Linked DNA regions of Macaca mulatta. The protein of the gene in region 2 purifies or fractionates together with the protein of the main gene of each other region. This does not show direct contact. Links are inferred from orthologs where the notes say so. Each region holds a gene or a part of one and is shown on either strand. Other genes may lie near its edges.

Evidence for each region.
Region 1: the proteins of SF3B1 (region 2) and MAGOH purify together in Homo sapiens (co-immunoprecipitation; 3 studies listed by BioGRID and IntAct, with this or other methods). This does not show direct contact. The link is inferred for Macaca mulatta from reciprocal best matches to the Homo sapiens genes SF3B1 and MAGOH.
Region 3: the proteins of SF3B1 (region 2) and SON purify together in Homo sapiens (co-immunoprecipitation; 3 studies listed by BioGRID and IntAct, with this or other methods). This does not show direct contact. The link is inferred for Macaca mulatta from reciprocal best matches to the Homo sapiens genes SF3B1 and SON.

What each region holds. Positions count from the first base shown.
Region 1 is NC_133406.1:187,368,778-187,372,530, reverse strand, and holds the start of MAGOH (protein mago nashi homolog), read right to left. Parts: upstream 2,192-3,753; 5' UTR 2,119-2,191; coding exon 2,031-2,118; intron 1-2,030. UniProt on the Homo sapiens protein: Required for pre-mRNA splicing as component of the spliceosome. Plays a redundant role with MAGOHB as core component of the exon junction complex (EJC) and in the nonsense-mediated decay (NMD) pathway.
Region 2 is NC_133417.1:102,331,875-102,334,412, forward strand, and holds part of SF3B1 (splicing factor 3B subunit 1), read right to left. Parts: intron 2,460-2,538; coding exon 2,187-2,459; intron 1-2,186. UniProt on the Homo sapiens protein: Component of the 17S U2 SnRNP complex of the spliceosome, a large ribonucleoprotein complex that removes introns from transcribed pre-mRNAs.
Region 3 is NC_133408.1:13,839,886-13,843,638, reverse strand, and holds the start of SON (protein SON), read left to right. Parts: upstream 1-891; 5' UTR 892-946; coding exon 947-1,023; intron 1,024-1,265; exon of another isoform or gene 1,266-1,385; intron 1,386-3,753. UniProt on the Homo sapiens protein: RNA-binding protein that acts as a mRNA splicing cofactor by promoting efficient splicing of transcripts that possess weak splice sites.

The DNA.
Region 1 (3,753 bases), on a different chromosome or scaffold from region 2:
TGAACCCAGATCGTGCCACTGCACTCCAGCCTGGGCAACTGAGCAAGACTCCATCTCAAAAAAAAAAAAAAAAAAAAAATCCAAACTCCTCAACATGGCATACGGCTAAGCAAAGCCCCTGCCTGCTTTTCCAGCCTCACTCCTGCAATATTCTTCTCTCACACAGCTGGAGTCGAACAACTTGGTTTCTGCCTGAAACATCCCAAGCACTTTTTGGTTTTCAGCCTCTTTGCATGCTGTCTAAAATGCCTTCTTGACTCTTCTTGGTCTCCTAACCAATACCTCACATCCCCTCCTCCCATCATTTTATGTAGGAAGCCTCCTCTGACCCTCAGGCTTGGCTAGGTGCCCCTTCTCTGCTGCAAGTCTCCTCTGTTTCTTTTTACCACAACACCTAATACGCTGTTTGGTCCCTGCTTACAAATCCATCTCCCTCACAGTCGGGGCCTGTCAGATACATCTTTGTGGCCCGCTTAATGGATGTTTTCTGTCATCTTTGATTCCTCTTTCCTTCACCACAGTGCCTCCGCCAAAAAAATCCTATCAACGATCAAAGTCCAGTTGATTCTGCCTCCAACAGTTTCCTAAATCTTTCTCTCCATTTCTACTATCTCTGTAGTCCCAACCGACATCTTTTTTTTTTTTTTTTTTTTGTGACACAGTCTCGCTCTGTCACCCAGACTGGAGTACACTGGCACTATCTCAGCTCACTGCAACCTCCGCCCCAGGTTCAAGCGATTATCCTGTCTCAGCCTCCCGAACAGCTGGGATTACAGGCATCTGCCACCACGTCCGGCTAATTTTTGTATTTTTAGTAGAGGCGGGGTTTCACCATGTTGGCCAGGCTGGTCTCGAACTCCTAACCTCAAGTTATCCGCACACCTCAGCCTCCCAAAGTCCTGGGATTACAGGCGTGAGCCACTGCGACTGGCCCCCAACATCTTTCTTGTCTTGACAACAGTCTCCTAATCAATAGCCCTGTTTTCACTGTTGCCCATTCCGCACCCAATAACCAGAATGCTTTTTCAAGAACAGATCACATTTCTTCTCTGCTTAAAACCTTCCAAGCCCGGCCAGGCGCGGTGGCTCACGCCTGTAATCGCAGCACTTTGGGACACCGAGGCCGGCGGATCGCCCGAGGTCAGAAGTTCGAGACCAGCCTGGCCAACCTGGTGAAACCCTGTCTCTACTAAAAATACAAAATTAGCCGGGCGTGGTGGTGGGTGTCTGTAATACCAGCTACTCGGGAGGCTGAGGCAGGAGAATCGCTTTAACTCGGGAGGCGGAGGTTGCAATGATCCGAAATCGCGCCATAGCATTACAGCCTGGGCAAAAAGAGCGAAACCCGTCTCAAAAAAAAAAATAAATAAAATAAAAAAAGCCTTCCAAGTCCAAACTCTTTACCATGGTCTATAAAGATCTACAAGGTGCGGCTCCTACTACCTATCCGACATCATCTCCTGCCATCTCCCAGCTCACCACTCTTCAATCACACTGACCACCTGAGACATGCCTAAGCTCATTCCCGCCCTGCAGCCTTGACTTCTGGTATTCCCTTTGGGTAGAATGGTCTTCCTTGTGAGCTTCACAAGGCTGGGTCCTTCTTGCTAATTAGGGCTCAGCTGCAATATACCATTAGAGCTCTCTAATGGCCAACCTATCTAAAAGCAGCCCATCCAGCGATTCTACCATATTTTCTGACCACTCACTGCTATCCGGAATCATCTTTTTATGATCTCTCTCCCAGCAGTAAAACACAAGTTCCACGAGAGAGGAAGTTTGTCTATCTTCGCTGTCGTATCCCCAAAGAGTGGAACAGAGCCTGGCACACAGTGGGCGTTCAGCCAACGTTTGTTGTATGGATAAAACGACGCCGTGGAGCAGACACAGTGGCGCTCCTTTCAGATCCGCACTGCACAGGTCTCAGCCCCTTCCTCCTCTAGTTCCCCACAGATTTCCGACCCTCGGCCTCCCCACTCGCCCGCCCCAAGGCCTGGTCCCGCTCCCGGCGGGCGGCAGGCTGCTTTTACCATCCGGTCGGAACTCAAACTCCAGGAACTCGTGGCCGAATTTGCCCTTGTGCCCCACGTAGTAACGCAGATAAAAGTCACTCTCCATGGCTCCCAAAAGACAACCGAGCCTGAACTTCCAACAGCAAGCCGCACTGCTGCGGTCTGCGCCCGACACTGACGTTTGCGGCGGCGCGCGGAAGTGACGTCAGATTACGCCGTCGCGTAATGGAGGGGTTCCTTCTAGCTAACCTATTCGCCCGGAAGTGACAACAAGACTGCCACACCCTCTCACGCCTAGGAGGTAACGAACTTTGTTTAACCCGGAGGCGGGGCCAACCAGCTCCGCTTCTCCACCTGGACGCGGGAGCGAGGTTGAGGTTGGTACCCGCTGGGTTCTCTCCCGGCCTGAGGCCGAGAGCCAGCCGCCTGCCTACCTCTGGGCTTTGAACGCGGGGTCTGGTGACTTCGCTTAAAGATCTCGGACCGAACACCCCGAGCCTTGCCCCCGCCAGGCTCAACCTCAGTTCACAGGACCCCCGACTTGTGTGAGTCGTACACCGCTCTTTACCGTCTCTGGACCTAGGTCATCTCGGCAGTAAAATGGGGTGAAATGACCCGACCTTCCCGGAGGATGCCGCGCACGATGTGTGTGCCTCAAGATGGCTTCCATTGACCTGAACTGTTAAGAAAGCCCTCAGTGACGCCTTCCCTGAATCCACAGTGGAGATTGCCGTTTCCCTGGAACTAGTTCACCCACACTTACCCATTTCGTCCTTTTCCACCTTTTATTTCTATCTTTCTGCCCCACTGATCTCTAGAATAGGTGCTGTGAGAAGTTAGAGTATTTGATCTCCCACTCCCCAGTCATCCCACTTACCGAGCAGTGATTCTCAGCCTGGCTGCACATTGGAATTACCTGGGGAGCCTCTAAAAATACTGATGCCAGGGCTCTACCCCAAGCCAATTAAAATCTCCAGCGCTGGAACTGGGCATTGGTACTCTTTGTAAAGCTCTCAGTTGAGGACCACTGACCAAAGAGACTCTTTTCAGAGCAAAGTTGTCCTCTGTGAAGCCATTCTGGCTCTGGAAAAAATTTACAGTTGAGTAGGGCCAGAGCAATCAAGATCATAATTATTTAATAGGAGCCTGCTCTCACTCGTCTAAGTTCCACACTTAGAGAGAATGAATGGTTCTAGAGACAGTGCTGAGATGACATCATTCTTGGGGCCTGGCAACTAGAACAGTATAAGATTCTGTAAGTCGGGACAGCAGTCTCTGATTCCTACCCCCAGTCTTTTTTTTTTTTTTTTTTTTTGAGACAGAGTTTTGCTCTTGTTGCCCAGGCTAGAGTGCAACGGCTGGTTCTCAGTTCACCGCAACCTCCACCTCCTGGGTTCAAGTGATTCTCCTGCCTTAGCCTCCCAAGTAGCTGAGATTACAGGCACGTGCCACCACATCCAGCTAATTTTTGTATTTTTAGTAGAGACAGGGTTTCACCATGTTGGCCAGGCTGGTCTCAAACTCCCGACCTCAGGCGATCCATCCGCCTCAGCCTTCCAAAGTGCTGGGATTACAGGCATGAGCCACCGTGCATGGCCCCCAGTCTTAACAATGAGTCCTTTTCTCCCTGAAAAAGCATTAGCAGCAGAGTGTAGAGTAGGTGTGGTGGGGGAAAAAAACCATTGGACACTGGTTAAAATCTTTTGTTTTAACAATGACTCATTGTAACCAAAGGTGAACT
Region 2 (2,538 bases):
TCTTATTTTAAACTTTTTTCTCTTTTTTAAAATTACTTTTCAGGCTGGGCATTGGTGGCTCATGCCTATAATCCCAGCACTTTGGGAGGCCGAGGCAGGTGAATCACCTGAAGTCAGGAGTTCTAGACCAGCCTGGCCAACATGGCGAAACCCTGTCTCTACTAAACATACAAAAATTAGTCAGGCGTTCTGGCGCACACCTATAATCCCAGCTACTCGGGAGGCTGAGGCAGGAGAATCACTTGAACCTGGGGGGCGGAGGTTGCAGTGAGCCAAGATCGTGCTGCTGCACTCCAGCCTAGGCAATAAGAGCGAAACTCTGTCTCAAAAAAAAAAAGAAAAAAGAAAAATTATTTTAAAAAATGTTTATTGTTAGAGATATGGAGGGCCTCGCTATGTTGCCCAAGCTGATCTTGAGCTCCTGGGGTCGAGTGATCCTCCCACCTTGGCCTCCCAAATCATTTTAAACTCTTGATTATAAACTTAAATCTTTACTAGTACTTCAGATACTGGTATATAATAGGTAACTAAATTAAAATTAAATTCCCTTCTCAAGTAAAGTTTAAGTTTCAATAACTCAATCTGGGGAGAGGAAGATCAACAATTTTTTCAAACCTACAGAAGTAACTATCATCTCCTATGTTAACTGAGTTTATGTTCATGAAAAATCAATCAGTTATTCATTCCACAATTATTCAACCAAGTATGAGCTCATTGGCTAACACACTGGGATTTGCAACGGGTATGAAAATGAGTTTCCAGGCCAGGCACGGTGGCTCATGCCTGTAATCCCAGAACTTTGCGAGGCCAAGGCCGGTGGATCACAAGGTCAGGAGATAGAGACCATCCTGGCTAACATGGTGAAACCCTATCTCTGCCAAAAATACAAAAAATTAGCTGGGCACGGTGGCACATGCCTGTAGTCCCAGCTACTTGGGAGCTGAGGCAGGAGAATCACTTGAACCTGGGAGGCAGAAGCTGCAGTGAGTCGAGATCGTGCCACTGTACTCCAGCCTGGGCGACAAAGCGAAAGTCCGTCTAAAAAACAAAATGAGTTTCCACACTTTGCTCCAAAGATAGTAACACAGACCATATCAAAAGAGAAAAATACTTGTATTTACTAATATTCTTGTTTTTCTTATTTTAATAATGTCATTAAGCATAAGAATGAAGCAGTATTCCTCATTAATAAAATTTCCAACTGAAGTATTCTTTTCATTTAGTAATTTTCAATGGAATTACTCCCTCCACTTCTCAGTACACAGAACAAAGTTTTTAACTGCGGGTGACATACATTAATGACTGCACTATGGTCCTCACGCACTTCTCACTGAGGAATATGGAGCAAGGGTGATTTACCCTCATTTTTTTTAGCCCTGGGCAGCCAGGCTTTTACAGAGCACAATTCTTACTTTGCTTCCATGTCTTGCATATACACTTTCTGGTAACTTGTCAAGTCCAGTTAAGTCTCCCTTTCAGAAGGTTATTAATGAATAACTTTAATCTGTACACAAAAGTATGTGAATGGGCTCTGATTTGAGTAACTTCTCTCTCCTGAAAAATAAGGAGCCAGTGAAACGGTTCTTTCCCTTACTATGCCTGCACTTTCCTTTGCACTTTCTTCAGTTACTTCTGTGTTTAAGGCTGTGCATCCGTCTAGATGGTAAAAGGTATTAGCAATCTGTCAAATAACTCGAACAGTACTGTACTGGTGGTCACTATCTGAAACACCAGGGACCTGCAATAGGAAGAGTGTAGCTCTGGCAGGCTATGTTCAGTAATTCAAAGGCTTAAGAGAAACCTATCCTTTACCTGCAATAAAAAGCTAAAAAGATCAGGTCTCTGCCACACTGATTAGCTCCTGCTCATCATGTCCTCTAACTATATTTGACCAATTTTGAAAACAAAAGATTATCAATCAACCCTTTTCAAAATGTATTTAGTTCAACAGATATGAAAAGAGATTTAAAGGGGGTGGGGGAACTTGAAAGAAAGTCTGGGGAATCACTACAGTGTGCACATTATTTTAAAATAATAAGTCATATTTACGATGTCCCAAGACTCCAGGCTAGCATTTTTTTCTTTAACTACATTACAGTAAAAAGTCATCTAATAACTATTTCAGGATATTCTAAAATGAAGGAAGAGTTATAATTATTTTCTTGTCATCAGTTCAAGTCACTTACCTATCCATTAAAGCATCTTCAAGTAACGGTGTTACAGCATAAATGTAGTCTTTTCCCATTTCACCAATATATTCAAACAAGAAGGAAAGTGACTTTAACACTCCATTTTGAACATTCAGTTCAGGAACTCTGTATTCATTCATTAAGGCAGGGAGTACTGTGAAGGGTGAACATGTTTCCGCAACAATAGCTATTGCTACAGTGGTACAAACTCTGTTCTGCCTTTCTTGAACTTTGAGGTTGTTTAGAAGTGTAGCCAATACATCATGAGGGCTGAAAAAAAAAATGGGTCAACAAGCTGTTACATTATAAGTCAAAAATTTATGGAAGAAAAAATGCATAAAGATGAAAA
Region 3 (3,753 bases), on a different chromosome or scaffold from region 2:
CGGGACCAGCTCGGCACCGCCCCTCACCGCCCCGCCCCGCGGCGGCTTCCCTGCCCCATTGGTCCGCGCGGCCCTAGGTCTCCGCGGCGAGAATCTAGTGATTCCCTCCCGCCCTGGGCGCGGCCTGACTGCTCCCCAGCCAAGACACCCAAGCTCTAGCACGTTCATAATGTGACAGTGGTATGGGGTGCCACGCAGTGTTTCCAGGAGCTCCGAGGGGGAGCGCCAAAATGCTAAACCCATTCTTAGCCAATTGTGCACCGCTCACGAGTCAGAGCTGACCAGCTACCGCGGAAAAATCTCGTGACACGCCTGACTCCTGATGAGAGTAAAATAAACCAGGCTTTGAATGCCGGTCACTTAGGACATCCGGCCTAAAATAAGGCTGGTTATACGACGCACTGGGGGAGACACAGGGCTACAGCGAGTTCTTCCTTCGCATCCCAGCGGGGGCGGGGGCTGAAAGATTTTCTCCCGGATGCATATCCCTGTCGAAACTGAACTTGGCGCCACCTGCGAGCGCCTGGAAGCCCTATGTTAAACACTGGGTTGCCCTTCTTGCTCCTCTTCCTCCTGGCCTTTAATCTCAGGCGCTTAGCAAGCCTCCTAAGGCTTCCAAACACTGCTGGGTACTGACAACTTAGGCGGACACAGTCGCCTCAAGAGAGACGACTCCTGTAATGGCGCCTGCGTCAGACACTAACATGGCGGACATAGTCGTGCGCGGCGCAAACGTCAGCACCTCTACCCCAGCCGCTCAGAAACAGCGGAGGAGAGCAGGGCCGTGCTCACTGATTGGTCCCTCGGTGGAGCGGGCCGGACCGGGCGTTCCCTTTGGAGCCAATCAGAAAGGCGAGAGACCGAATTGGCCGCTGCGCCTCCTCCCGAGGCATGCTGGGAGCCTGGAGGACTAGCGAGGAGGAGTTGAGAGAACGGAGCGGACGCCATGGCGACCAACATCGAGCAGATTTTTAGGTCTTTCGTGGTCAGCAAATTCCGGGAAATTCAACAGGAGCTTTCCAGGTAAACGCCTCCCAGATTCTTCTGCTCCCAGCGGACCGTTAGGGCCTCACCAAGCCTTCTTTGGCATCTTTCTTCGGAGACGCCGTCGTTCCTCGGCTCAGGCCCCGCCTGGGCCTGGGATCCATTTTCCGGGCCCCCCCCAACCGCCCCCCCAGCCGCTCCCTTCCTTTCCCCTCGAGGAACTTCGCCTTTTCCGAGGTAACCCCAGACTCCCTGTTTTAGAACCGAGTTAAGATGCTCACCCTTCTCCCCTGTTTGGTTCCCCCCTGCCGTTTAGCTACTCGTAGGCCCGGTTGTCCGCCAGGGACAGGCCTAGTTCCTTCCTCAGCTCCTCCTCCGCCGCCGCGTGTCCCCTCCCCCTCTCCGCCTCCGCGGATTTTGCCGGCCGGTGCCTATGACCGGAAAGGGTCTCTAACGGCCGTTTCTTGAGTAATCTTAAATCCTCTTTATTATTGCGAGCTTCAGAGCGCTTGGGGGTCTGGATCTATTAATAAGATTATTCGGAGCCTAGTGTCCTGTAGTGTCTCTCAGCCGTTCTAATAGTTAAATGTTTCAATTAAAACTAACTCAAACTAATATTTGCTACTTTGTTAAAATACTCGAGATGACGTTGGAAGGGGACTTTGAAATGGTAGTGATTAATTACAGCAAGTGAAAGTGGACTTTGTGTGTAGGTCTGTTATTTTCTTGCTACCCCTGCCCCAGTTGACACGCTATTTTTGTCGTTGCTGGTAGACTTTACATAATTTGCGCTTGGCTTCACAAAATTTGAAGGCGAAGAGGTTGTTAAAGAAATGGTTGTTTAGTCAGGAAAATAGTGTATCATGTTCAGCGGTTGTCTTTCGGTATTAGCTTTGTGTAAGATACTCAGTTCTTTAAAGTACAGAGGTAGGAAAGAGATCTTGAAACGTAAATGTTCCGAGTTCGAATGTTTTTAATTGTATTTTAAAAGTTGAGTGCAAGAGCAGTACGTGAATTTGAAAATGGGCCGAAAACCAGTTGTAAGTGCCCAAAGTAATACAGGATTATTAGGGCAATGATGTATTATTGCTAGAATCATCACTTTTGCAGAATGTTTTGCTTTTTAAGTGGAAATAGATCCACTCACATTGCTTTTTAAATATCTGTGATATTGCTAGTAGTGTTTTAGGATGAGAAGAGACCCGAGCTTAGAGAATATAATTTTCCTGACAAATCTTGCTGGATGCTTTAAGTAGTTGTTTGCTTAGTTTAACAAGCTGTGTTTTTGTAGCTTTTAAAAGCTAGTCTTTCCTTTAGAAAATGAGTGTTTTATTATAGAGAATTTAGAAGAAATGAAAAAGAAAAGAAAAAACTCACATTATTGATATTCTTATGTCATTTCCCCCCCCCATGTATTGTGTGATATGTGATCATCTTGTATTGATCATTTTTCCAGCTAATACGTTGTTAACAAGTTTGTCCCTCCCATTCTGTCTTTTGGACTTATTCATGGCTGCATAGAATCCTGTTGTAGGAATATATTGTTGCATATTTAGGTGGTTTGAAATTTTCATTGCTTTTCAGTAAATGCAGTTAACAGTTGGTAGCTTTAAGATGAAATCATTACTTCCTTGTAGATTAACTTTTAAAACCATAATTACTTTTCTGATTTTCAGATTTGTCATAATTATGTATAAGTGCTTAGGAAAATTGTAAAATAAAGTGCTACAGAAAAGAATATCTAAAAATAATAGTAGACGAAGCACTTTATTACTAGAGGAATATGCAGTTTCTCTTCAAGCAACACACAATGCATTATCAGTCTGCAAACAAGTTTTTGATTATTTGCCATTTCAGTGAGCTATTTTTTTTCTCATCTGCTTTTATGTAAATTAGAGTATTGAGGCTGACAGATAGTTAAAACATGTTATCGAACTTCTGTTATAGATGGTGTGTAAGAATATGGCCTCTGGTTTGAGTACCAGCTTCACCTCTTAGTAGCTGTGTGACCTTCAGCTAAGTTTCTTCATTTATAAAAGAATAATAGTGGTGATCTTAGAGTTGTGTTAGGATTAAATGAGTTAATGTAGAACAGTATGACACTAGCTAGTAGTCATTAAATGTTAATTAATATAATTATAATTATACAATTCATTGTATTAGAAAACCAGATGTTCCTTGATAACATTTAGGTAACTCCTGAATTTTTTTTGGTTTTTCATCATTCAGACTTTTATCAGGTAGTGGAGCATAATTGTTTTATGTGTTTTCATTTAGCTAAAATTGAAGTTAAAATCAAACTGTTGCTGAAATTATTTGATTTTTCAAAATTTTGCAAAGTCACACGAAAATAGTAGAAATTACTGGGCGAATGACATGTTCTTACCTATTTAAAGATTTCTTTGGCCCTGTGAATGGAAAATGTGTTAAGCCATCTATGCTTTTACTGTTGGTATAAATGCCACTTGTTTTATGTGAGTTTTTTAAACCACGGTTCTTGATAATTGTGTAAAAATTGCATAAATTATTTTCCTTTTTAAGTTTAGTGGCATTTCAATAACAATGTAAGCCTGGACAGAGGTTACAGGTTACCCTTTTTATTCAGTGTGCCTGTGGCTAGCTTTTGTGTTCCTTGATACTATTGATGGTGATTGTGATTTATGCACAGGTGTGGCTTTAATGTAGCCATGGTTTCTACCATAATGTTAGGCCTTTTGATTTATGACTGGGCTCTTATTAATTTTTCTCCCCTGAGAGAAATATATGGGC